Linked DNA regions of Ovis aries. The protein of the gene in region 2 purifies or fractionates together with the protein of the main gene of each other region. This does not show direct contact. Links are inferred from orthologs where the notes say so. Each region holds a gene or a part of one and is shown on either strand. Other genes may lie near its edges.

Region 1 (4,897 bases), on a different chromosome or scaffold from region 2:
TAATTCCAATCTTATACAAGGGCAATGCCAAAGAATATTCAAACTAACATACAATTGTGCTTATTTCACATCCTTGCAAGGTAATGCTCAAAATCCTTAAAGCTAGGCTTCAACAGTACGTGAACTGATAATTTCCAGATGTAAAAGTTGGGTTTAGAAAAGGCAGAGAAACAGATCAAATTGCCAACATTCACTGGATCATAGAAAAGGCAAGAGAATTCCAGAAAAACATCTACTTCTGCTGCATTGACTACAATAAATCCTTTGACTGTGTGGATCACAACAAACTGTAGAAAATTCTTTGAGAGATGGGAATACCAGACCACCTCACCTGCCTCCTGAGAAACATGTGTATGCAGGTCAAGAAGCAATAGTTGGAACCAAACATGGAACCAATGGACTGGCTCAAAACTGGGAAAGGAGTATGTTCAGGCTGTGTACTGTCACTCTGCTTAATTAACATATGCAGAGCACATCATGCAAAATGCCGGGCTGGATGAATCACAAGTTGGAATCAAGATTGCTGGGAGAAATGTCAATAATCTCAGATATGCAGATGATACCACCCTAATGGCAGAAAGCAAAGAGGAACTAAAGAGCCACTTGATGAGGGTGAGGGAGGAGAGTGAAAAAGCTGGTTTAAAACTCAACATTAAAAAAACTAAGATAATGGCATCCGGTCCCATCACTTCATGGCAGACAGATAGGAGAAAAAATGGCAACAGTGGCAGATTTTATTTTCTTGGGTTCTAAAATCACTGAAGATGGCGACTGTAGCTATGAAATTCAGATGCTTGCTCCTTGGAAGAAAAGCTATGACAAACCTAGACAGTATTATTAAAAAGCAGAGACACCACACTGCCAACAAAGGTCCATACATAGTCAAAGCTATGGTTTTTCCAGTAGTCATGTATGGGTGTGAGAGTTGGACCACAAAGAAAGCCGAGTGTCATAGAATTGATGTGTCCAAATTCTGGTGCTGGAGAAGACTCCTAGAGTCCCCTGGACTGCAAGGAGATGAACCAGTCAATCCTAAAGGAAATCAACCCTGAGTATTCACTGGAAGGACTGATGCTAAAGCTCTAATACTTTGTCCACCTGAAGTGAAGGGCCGATTCATTATGAGAGACCCTGACACTATGAAAGATGGAAGCAAAGCGAAAAGAGGAGGGCAGAGGATGAGTTGGTTAGACAGTATCATCGACTCAATGGACATGAGTTTGAGCAAACTCCAGGAAATAGTGAAGGATAGGGAAGCCTGCAGTACTGTAGTACATGGGGTCGCAAAGCCTCCAACATGACTGACTTAGCCACTGTACAAAACAACAACATACTATAGAAGTAATAATTTATCAATACATACACACTCCCTTAGGAATTCTTCTGAAATATTCTCCTCTAAAAGCTGTTCCACAATATGTAGAGCTTTTCTCTCAAACTCAATCTTCTTTCTGACAGCTGCTTCTAGTTCTGCTTTCCTAAAATTTTAAAAAAAAAATGGTATTTAAGTTATTCTACTTAAGTTTTAGCATAGCCATTTTCTACATTTTAAAATTAAACACTAACAATGTGCTATTTTGCTATTAATGTTAAATGTATATTTTTAAATGCTGTTTCTTTTGATACAGTATTTTTCAAAAGGGAAACAAACTACTTTTTATTGACGTCTGTCATAACAGGATTATTTGATTTCCAGGGCTCAGAGAACAAGGAAGAATTTAGAGTATCCTACAAAAAAGAAAATAGGAGGAAATCTTTTTTGCCAGATAAAACTATCATTATTGAAATGATAATTTATCATTCTCTATCATTTCTCTGAGCTTTTACCTAAAAATGGAGGCTTTTCCCTTGAAATCATTAGAAATCAGAAAGGAATGGAGAGGAAAAATATTATTTTGGTTGTTCTCTTAAATACAAATTTCTTTGTGCTAATTCTCAAATGTTAACTAAATGGCCAGCCTGGTTTAACAGGACAGAGTCATACTTGCAAAGAAGTATTTACTTACTTTGTTGTAAAGTCTTACTAAATAACTATACCGCTATGACTATATGGTTCTTTCTGGAAAACAACAATCTAGGAAGCACCAGTGAAAATCTGTCAGCCTTTGCAGGCCCCCTGCATCATATAAAAGCAGAGGCTATCTGATCAAAAAATGGTCCTAGGACAGTGGTCCTCAATTCCCGCCTCAGTGTAGATCATCTGATGAGACCTTTTTTAAAAAAGATACCATGCTCAGGTCCCACTGCAGGCTAACTAAATAAGAATCTTTGAGGATGGGCTCTAATTAATGGCGTTTTCTTAAAAGTGCTCCAGATAAACCTAGTGTGTAACAGAGTTGAGAACCAGTACCATGGAACAAAGATACCAAGTATCTTGGTGACTTGTTAGCTATACTAGTTTCTACTCCCCCACCAGAACAACCCTGCTGCCATCATGGACCTTGACTGCTCTCATATGTGGACCTAGAATGTACTCAGTCCTGAATATTCATTCCAAGGATTGATGATAAAGCTCCAATACTTCGGCCACATGATGCGAAGAATGGACTCATTGGAAAAGACCTTGATGCTAGGAAAGATTGAAGGCAGGAAGAGAAGGGGATCAGAGGATGAGATGGTTGGATGGCATCACCGACTCAATGGACATGGGTTTGAGCAAGCTCTGGGAGTTGGTGATGAACAGGGAAGCCTAGCGTGCTGCAGTCCATGGGGTCTAAAAGAGTCGGACATGATTCAGTGACTGAACTGAACTGAGAATGTACTCACCTTTTCTCCCTACCTTTATTGACTGCGAAGACTTTAGCATCTAATTTCTTGCCTGGAGCAATATGTTTTACAAAAAAACAATTTGGAGAACTGACACAAGACTGCCAGCTAGGGACAAATAAGGACATTAAAACAAGAATTCGCTAAACCCAGGGTAGGCAAGGCGTTAGCAGGGAAGCTGGAAGAAAACTCAAGGAGTCATAGTAAGTGAAGACCCATTTATTCTCTCCCGACTGCAACAACAGCTGTAGCAGCAGATACACTGTATTCTCTCCTCTCACGACTAACCCAGTGGACACAGCCCTAACGCAGCCAAAAAGCTCTTCAGGTGGAGCCAATATATGTTTACAGAACAAAAGTGGCCCATGGCCAAGTGGGTACATCGTGACGCGTGTGCGCGGTGCTCTAAGTTATCTCAGCTGTTACATGACCATGTATTTACAAAACCTGGGGTCAGAGCGAGATGTCCTGGGGCAAGAGAGCCTGACCACCACCACTTTGGTTAATCTGCTCTTTCCCTACAAAGAAGAAACTTGTAATTAACACCTGTTCTCCCACCATTTCATCAAGACCAATCTTACATCAAAAATGTAAAAAGGACATGGACACAGATTAAATATTCTTTGTACTGAAAAAAAGTTTTCTCTGCAGTACCAAACTTCTTTGTACTGAAAATATTTAGCTTTATGAAAAGCCTTATTTTTCTCATTTCACTGCTTACCAATTAAAGCTATGTCATTTACTAAGATCAGAATAGAATGTGCATTAGGAGTTCCTGATTTAAGGAGTTAATTACCTCAACCTGCAGGAACAGCAAACTCCTCAGAACTGATGAATATCTACAGCTGTTTCCCATGGACAGCCCTGTCTCAGAGCACCCTTCTATCCCACATGACACATGGTGTGGTCTACAGCAGTGGTACTCAAACTTCTGGGCATCAGTGGTCCTTAATAATCTTAGTTTTTGCTTATGCAGATTGTATCTGTTGATAGTTACCATACTGGGATTAAAGGTGAGAAAAATTTCAAGCACTCATGAACTCATTTAATAGTAATATATACATTACACGTTAACATATTTTTAAATGAAAACTTCAGTGTGAATTACGGAATTGTTTTATATTTTCACAAAGCTCATTATAATTTCTGGCTTAATACTATTCAGCTGGATTGAACGTAGAAGTATTTTTCAGTAGGAATAAATTCATGAAGGATCACTTCTCTCAACACCTAGTTGGTTACCCTCAAGGATCATCCTGGGTGATCTGCCTGAAATACGTTTCAGCTTATCTATATTCTTCACATTGTAGTACTTAGAATAAAAGATAATCTCCTCAGGCGTGTAATTAGATCCATGTTGAAGAGACCTGCAAATTACTATTATCATTATTAACTAAACTTTACTGTTGTATTATTTTCTAAAGCCAAGTATAGTCATTCTGCTCCACAGGAAAACAGATCTCAAATTCATCTGATTTCTCCACTCCCAAATGATCTTTATCCCTAACACCTTAACACTTTTGAAACTTAAATTCTGTTACTTTAAATTCAAGTTTTATTTGCACTTAGAAAATCTGAATTTCTCACCCTAGCCTACTGGTACTGTTTGAATGCAACCCTGCCTCTAACTTATTCCTACACTCCTTTCTTCCTTTGCTCAGAATGCTTCACATGACCTTGGATATCTCTTTCTTTTTTTCTTGTCACATATATTGGTGCTTCTAGCTGGAAGTCTCTCCTCACTACTCTGTCTGGTAAGTGCCTACCTAGCCTTCCAGTCAGTCTAATTATTACTTTCTCAGAGAAGCTTTTCCCTGAACACATACCACCCTTCCTGCCAACCTCTTTTGTTTTTAGTTCCATCACAGCCTTTTCATTTGCAATTATGTATTTATTTGTGATAATTTAATTGATATTTCTCTGTTCTACTAGACAGGAACTGTGTCTATACTGTTCAAAATCATATCCTCAGGGCCTCTGAAACTGAAAAACTCCCAAAAGAGAACACAGGCAGAACAGCCTTTGACATAAATCTTAGCAATTTTTTAAAATGTCTTCCAAGATGAAGGGAAAGAGCAAATATAAACAAACAGGAAGGACCTAATTATACTTAAAAACTTTTGCAAACAAA
Region 2 (5,568 bases):
CCATGTCTTGTGAAGAAGCAAAGACCAAGACCCTGCAAGGTCAATTCCCCAAGAGCAAGGGTCAGAAATACTATTCAAATTTTGTTTGTGTGTGTGTGTGTGTGTGTGTGTGTGTGTTTAAAATTAGGTCCCCTGCTCCTCAACATGGAGAGAGCATTAAAATGTGACCCAGAATTCCTCTCCCCGGGAAGCCTCTGTGGTCAGCCTCTTACGTTTCATGGTGTCCATGATGTGGCGCTGTTGGAAGTTAGTCAGTTTGGATTCCTTCATCATCACTGCAAAACAAAGCACCTTGGTGAGGCTTCCTGGGCTGCAAGCAGACGCCTCATCTCACCCCACTGAAACTTAATACTGTATCGCCTCCTGCTCCCATTCTGGGTGCCTGCGTACTTGGCTTGTGGGATTTGAGTTCCTTGAACAGGGATTGAACCTGGGCCTCCCAGCACTGAAAATACTGAGCCCTAACCACTGGACCACATGGGAATTCCCTTCCTTTTCTACATTTTTCCCCCTATACCACTCATCACCATCTAAGTTCTATATACCTTATTTATTATTTGTTACTTTCCTCCTAGAATATTAGCTCCAAGGGAACAATAATTTTTGCTTATTTCTTTTCTTTACCGCTGTGTTTTCAGCACCCGGGATAATGTCTAAAGCACACAGTGGGCTTTAAAACTATTTTTGTTGAGTGAATGAAACAGTGAATGAACAAGTATTCATTGAGCACGTGCCAGGGGCTGGAGCTACAAATGTGAGCCAAAACAGGCATCATGCCCTGATGGCGTTCATGAACTGAATGTTAATTCAATGTTAATTCAGTGGAACACACTAGGTATCTGAGTACAGGTTGCACTAAGCCCAGTGAAGGAAAAGGTATTTGGTAGTGTGCAGACTATTAGGAGAAGGCAATGGCAACCCACTCCAGTACTCTTGCCTGGAGAATCCCATGGGCAGAGGAGCCTGTTGGGCTGCTGCTGCCCATGGGGTCCCTAAAAGTTGGACACGACTGAGCGACTTCACTTTCACTTTCCACTTTCATGCACTGGAGAAGGAAATGGCAACCCACTCTAGTGTTCTTGCCTGGAGAATCCCAGGGACAGAGGAGCCTGTTGGGCTGCTGTCTATGGGGTTGCACAGAGTTGGACACGACTGACGCAACTTAGCGGTAGCAGTAGCATCAGTGTGCAGATGCATAACAGTTGGTTCCACTGTGGTGATGATGGGTGGAGAGCAAATAAGTCTTCCCTGGGGAAACTGAAAGTGTGATCTAAGGGGTTCATGGGAGTTAACCACTCTGAAATTCTTAGTTCTTTGACTTTGGGTCACTTCCAAGTTGTAGGAGCTGGACGCCTGAACCTTTCTGAACTCCAGGCTTCTTATCTGTAAACTGAAAATACAATTACTAAGCCATAAGTCATGTAGGGGAGAACTGAGAAACAGAGGGTAACTGTAACCACCGCTCTTCTTGTGCCCTTTAATGCACTGACCTCTGAGCAGCTCGCAGGTCCCTGGGGTGTAAGTGGTCGGCTTGGGACAGCGCCAGAACCCTGTTCCTTTGGTCACCGTCTCCACCCTCTCCTGGGAAGCCATGGGAGGGCTCTGAAGAGGGAAAAACCCAATGAAACATTCCCGGTCTCCCAGATCCAATCTCTTCTCACACCCTCAACACCACCCAAAGTTTGGGAGCGGGTGTAGGGTCTCAAGAGATCGTGATGCCGCCTGTCAACATCGCGACAGTGCCCGATCCTCCCACCTCGAACAGATCCACTGGCAGATATATACACGCGAACAGAGACCTCATCCTGACCTGGCGCCTGTGGCAGGGAAGCCCCCTCGGGAGGAAAGGGGAGTGAGGGTAGCCGTGCCCGTTGTGTGATACGCCCAAACGGGAAACCTCACCCTAAAGTAAGACCCCGGCTGGGTGGCCTCTCTCCTCACAGAGAGCGGCGGCTGGGCTCCGGAGATCGTAACCAAGGCTCTGAAGCAGCAGCCGCGCCTGGTCCCTCCCAGAAATACTTTTGAGATCTCAGCCACTAGAGCTTGCAGCAAGCGCGGCTCCGGCTACCATGGTAACGCAGACAAACTGCTCCGCGCATGTGCCTATTTCTCGCCCCGCCTGCCTCCCGGAAGTGATTACCGCTAGGTCACAGCGCAGGCGCCGAGTACTCTTGGCATCGCGCGAGGCGGAGGTACGCTGTTCGCCGGTCTCCGCGCGGGTTTGGGTCTCGGAACCCGGTGGCTGCTGCGCGGGCGTCATGTCAGACAACGAGGACAAGTGAGTGAGGGAGCGAAACGACTTTTCCGAAGACTCAGAAGGGGCGGATGAAGCAGGAGCCAGGGTCGAAGGAAGTTGAGCCAGAGGTTTAGGACTGGGGGTGGTGAGGGCGTCCGCAGAGCCGGAGAAGGGAAAGGCTGGGAACTAGGAGCATAGACCCGGTCAGAGGCTGGGCGCGGAAAAGGCTCCGACTCGAGGGTCCAGAGAGGATCAGTGAAAAAGTATCTTTCAGCAAACTTCCACTGAGTCGGGCTCTATGTCTGTCTGTACCAAATGTTGATTCAGCTGGGGTCTCTTTCTAGAAGAGGCCCATAGTTAAGATGAGGACGTCAGATGACTGGTTTATTGAATGATTCACTGGTTAGGTGGATATTTATTGAGAGCCTCCTACGTATCACATGAGACTCAGATTTCTGCCCACTTTGATTCTAATAAGTGATGCTCTAACTAACGGGCTTCTTACACTTGTTCAGTTTTGATGGAGACGACTTTGATGACGTGGAGGAGGATGAAGGGCTCGATGACTTGGAGAATGCCGAGGAGGTCAGTACTGAGCCTTGGGCTCCCCTCTCTGCAGCCCAAGCTGCCAGATAGCCCGGCCAGTGATGGCCGACTGCATGCCTCTGCCTCCCGTTTGTGGTCAGGGTACTGCCACTTAGAAAGGGGAGATCTAGCCCTGGGTAGTGGAGGAGTCCTACAGGGTTGGCCCAAAGGCTTTTGTCTCTTGGACCACAGAGCATGACTTCTGGGGCAGTTAGTTTACTCAGTTGAAATAGCCCCTTCATTCATTGTGCAGACATGTGGTGAATGTTTATTATGTACCAGGAGCTCAGCAGGGTGGGGCTGAATAAAGAGCAAGGGGGAGAGTGACCTGGGATAAGGCTGGAGAGGTGAGGGCCAAGATCAGCCAAGATTTTGTAGCCTAGGGGTAGCGGGAAGCTGCTGATAAGTTTTGGGGATCTGGGGAGTGGCATGATCCAGTGAGGAATGAGTTGGGTGAACCAAGAGTCAAAGAGAGCCCAATTAGAGTGCAATCCAGGTGACATCTGTAGCTTGCACTTGGGTGCTGGTAGTGTTTGTGATGAGAAAACAGATGAGAGATTTTGGTGGATTGGATGTGGGGCTGAGAAAGTGGGAGATGGCAGGAATGACTCCCATGTCTCTGGCTTGAGCAGCTTGGTGGATGAGTTACTGGCGTCATAGATAAAATAGGGTCTTCTGTGCTGTGTGACTGGTGGAGGAAGAAGTGCTTTATGTCTTCTGGAGAGAGGAATCCTTTGATTTTTTTTTAGATTGGTAATGTGAAGGCCCTCTTTTGTGTGGGTTTTCCTGTCTGCCTAACACTCTGAGGTTATCTGTTCACTGAGTCAGAAGCCTTCTTCTCGGTTCTTCTGATGCCTTTCCATCTCTCTCCTCTTGATTCTGCCTCCTCCATGTAGTTCAGTCCTGTTCCCGTTTCTCTATTCCTAGTGCCTCAGCCTGGTTTAGATCTTTATTGGTTTTCATCCGCATTACTGCAGAAACTTGTTACCGGTTTTCCTGCCTTGAGTCTGCTGTTTGCCTTTCTGCTGCCAGAGTCGACTTTTTCTCCTACCCACATGATTGGTTACTATTGGTCTTGCTCAGTGTTCTCTCTGCTTCAGCCCTTAGCCTCTACAGAACGTTCTTAACAGAGTATCCAAGAGTGATCCTTTTAAATCTTCAGTCACTCTGTCTCTCCTCTGCTCAGAACCTGCGTCTGGTCACTTCTCATCTCATTCCGAATAAAAGCCAAGAACATGCACAAGGTCCTCCGTGATCCGACCGCCTGCTCCCTCTGTGGTCTTATCTCTTCTTGGTATCGCTGTCATGCCAGGGAAGTTCCAGCTCAGGACCTTTGACCGTGCTGTTCCCTCTTCCTTTTCCCTTAGTTATGCACACAACCTGCTCCTCAGCCTCCTTCAGGTCTGTGTTACATGTCACCTCAATGAGGCCTTCCCTGACCATTCTGTTTCAAATCACTGCATTTGCTCCTTCCTCCAACATCACCACTCGGACACTCCCTGTCTTTTCTCTCTGTTTTTATACTGCACATTTTACTACTTATTTTATTATTGTTCATCTCACTGTATTCCTGGGTTGGAAGATCCACTGGAGAAGGGATAGGCTACCCACTCCAGTGTTCTTGGGCTTCCCTGGTGGCTCAGCTGGTAAAGAATCCACCTGCAATGCAGGAGACCTGCCTGGGTTTGATCCCTGGGTTGGGAAGATCCCCTGGAGAACGGAATGGCTGCCCACTCCAGTATTCTGGCCTGGAGAATTCCACGAACTGTATAGTCTGTGGGGTCACAAGGAGTCGTACAGGACTGAGTGACTTTCACTTTCACTGTATTATAATGTAAAGCTGTATGGGAGAAAGAACTTTCATCTGTCTTACTGCTCTGTGTCAAGCACTTAGAATGCTATCTGACAAAGAGTAAGCACTCAGTAAATATTTGTTGGCTTAATTTTGTATTACAGAATTTATTCTCCTGTCTACCCTGTTTGCACCTTTTGGGCTTATCATACCCCATGATTAGGCATCCAGGCTGAGTACACTCTCTTCCCTCGTGTGTCTTTGCACATATGCAGTTCAGCCTGTCTGGAATGCCCTTTCTTTCTTTCCTTGTTAGCTTGGCAGCTCGTACTCATCCTTGGAGACTAGCCCAAGTCTCATCTCTGGACTGTATTCCTAACCCCCAGGATGAGGTAGATGCCCCTCGCTTTCTTGTGTAGTTTGTGGCACACTGCCACGCTTTCATAGCACTTGATGTTTTGTTTACTCTTGCCTTTTCGCTGGACTGTGAATTCTTGGCGAGCAGAGACTCCGTCTCAGCACCTTTATCATGTCTGGCACATGACAGATGCTTAATAAGTGGTTGTTAAATATATACATGTGTAAAGATGGGGTGCTTCTTCCTCTTCTTGGTTTGGGTGAGGTTGTCTGTGCTCAAGGACTTCTTTGTATGGGACCAACTCTCTCTGCTGGATGAGGCGGCTGGCTTTGGACTCCTGATCACGATTCCTCTTTCACTAGCTCTGAGACTTTGGCCACGTTGGCTAACTGTCCAGCCCTTTAAAATGAGCATTGTAATCCCCACTTGATAAGGTTTTTGTGAGGATTAGGTGAGGTGTTAATAAGGCAGTTGTGTGGTCACTGGCATGCAGCGTGGAGGCGCTCACAGTCACTGTTGTCGTTGTCCTGCCCCTCACCCCCAGTGATACAGCCTGAGATTTTCCCCTCTTTTCTGCCTTTGTGTCCAGGAGGGCCA

Evidence for each region.
Region 1: the proteins of POLR2F (region 2) and RPAP2 purify together in Homo sapiens (affinity purification with mass spectrometry; 4 studies listed by BioGRID and IntAct, with this or other methods). This does not show direct contact. The link is inferred for Ovis aries from reciprocal best matches to the Homo sapiens genes POLR2F and RPAP2.

Annotation. Positions count from the first base shown.
Region 1 is NC_056054.1:69,554,123-69,559,019, reverse strand, and holds part of RPAP2 (putative RNA polymerase II subunit B1 CTD phosphatase RPAP2), read right to left. Parts: intron 1,479-4,897; coding exon 1,364-1,478; intron 1-1,363.
Region 2 is NC_056056.1:215,574,955-215,580,522, forward strand, and holds the start of POLR2F (DNA-directed RNA polymerases I, II, and III subunit RPABC2), read left to right. Parts: upstream 1-2,163; 5' UTR 2,164-2,258; coding exon 2,259-2,278; intron 2,279-2,751; coding exon 2,752-2,821; intron 2,822-5,560; coding exon 5,561-5,568. Other genes in the region: C3H22orf23 (UPF0193 protein EVG1), read right to left, coding at 213-275, 1,491-1,593. UniProt on the Homo sapiens protein: DNA-dependent RNA polymerase catalyzes the transcription of DNA into RNA using the four ribonucleoside triphosphates as substrates.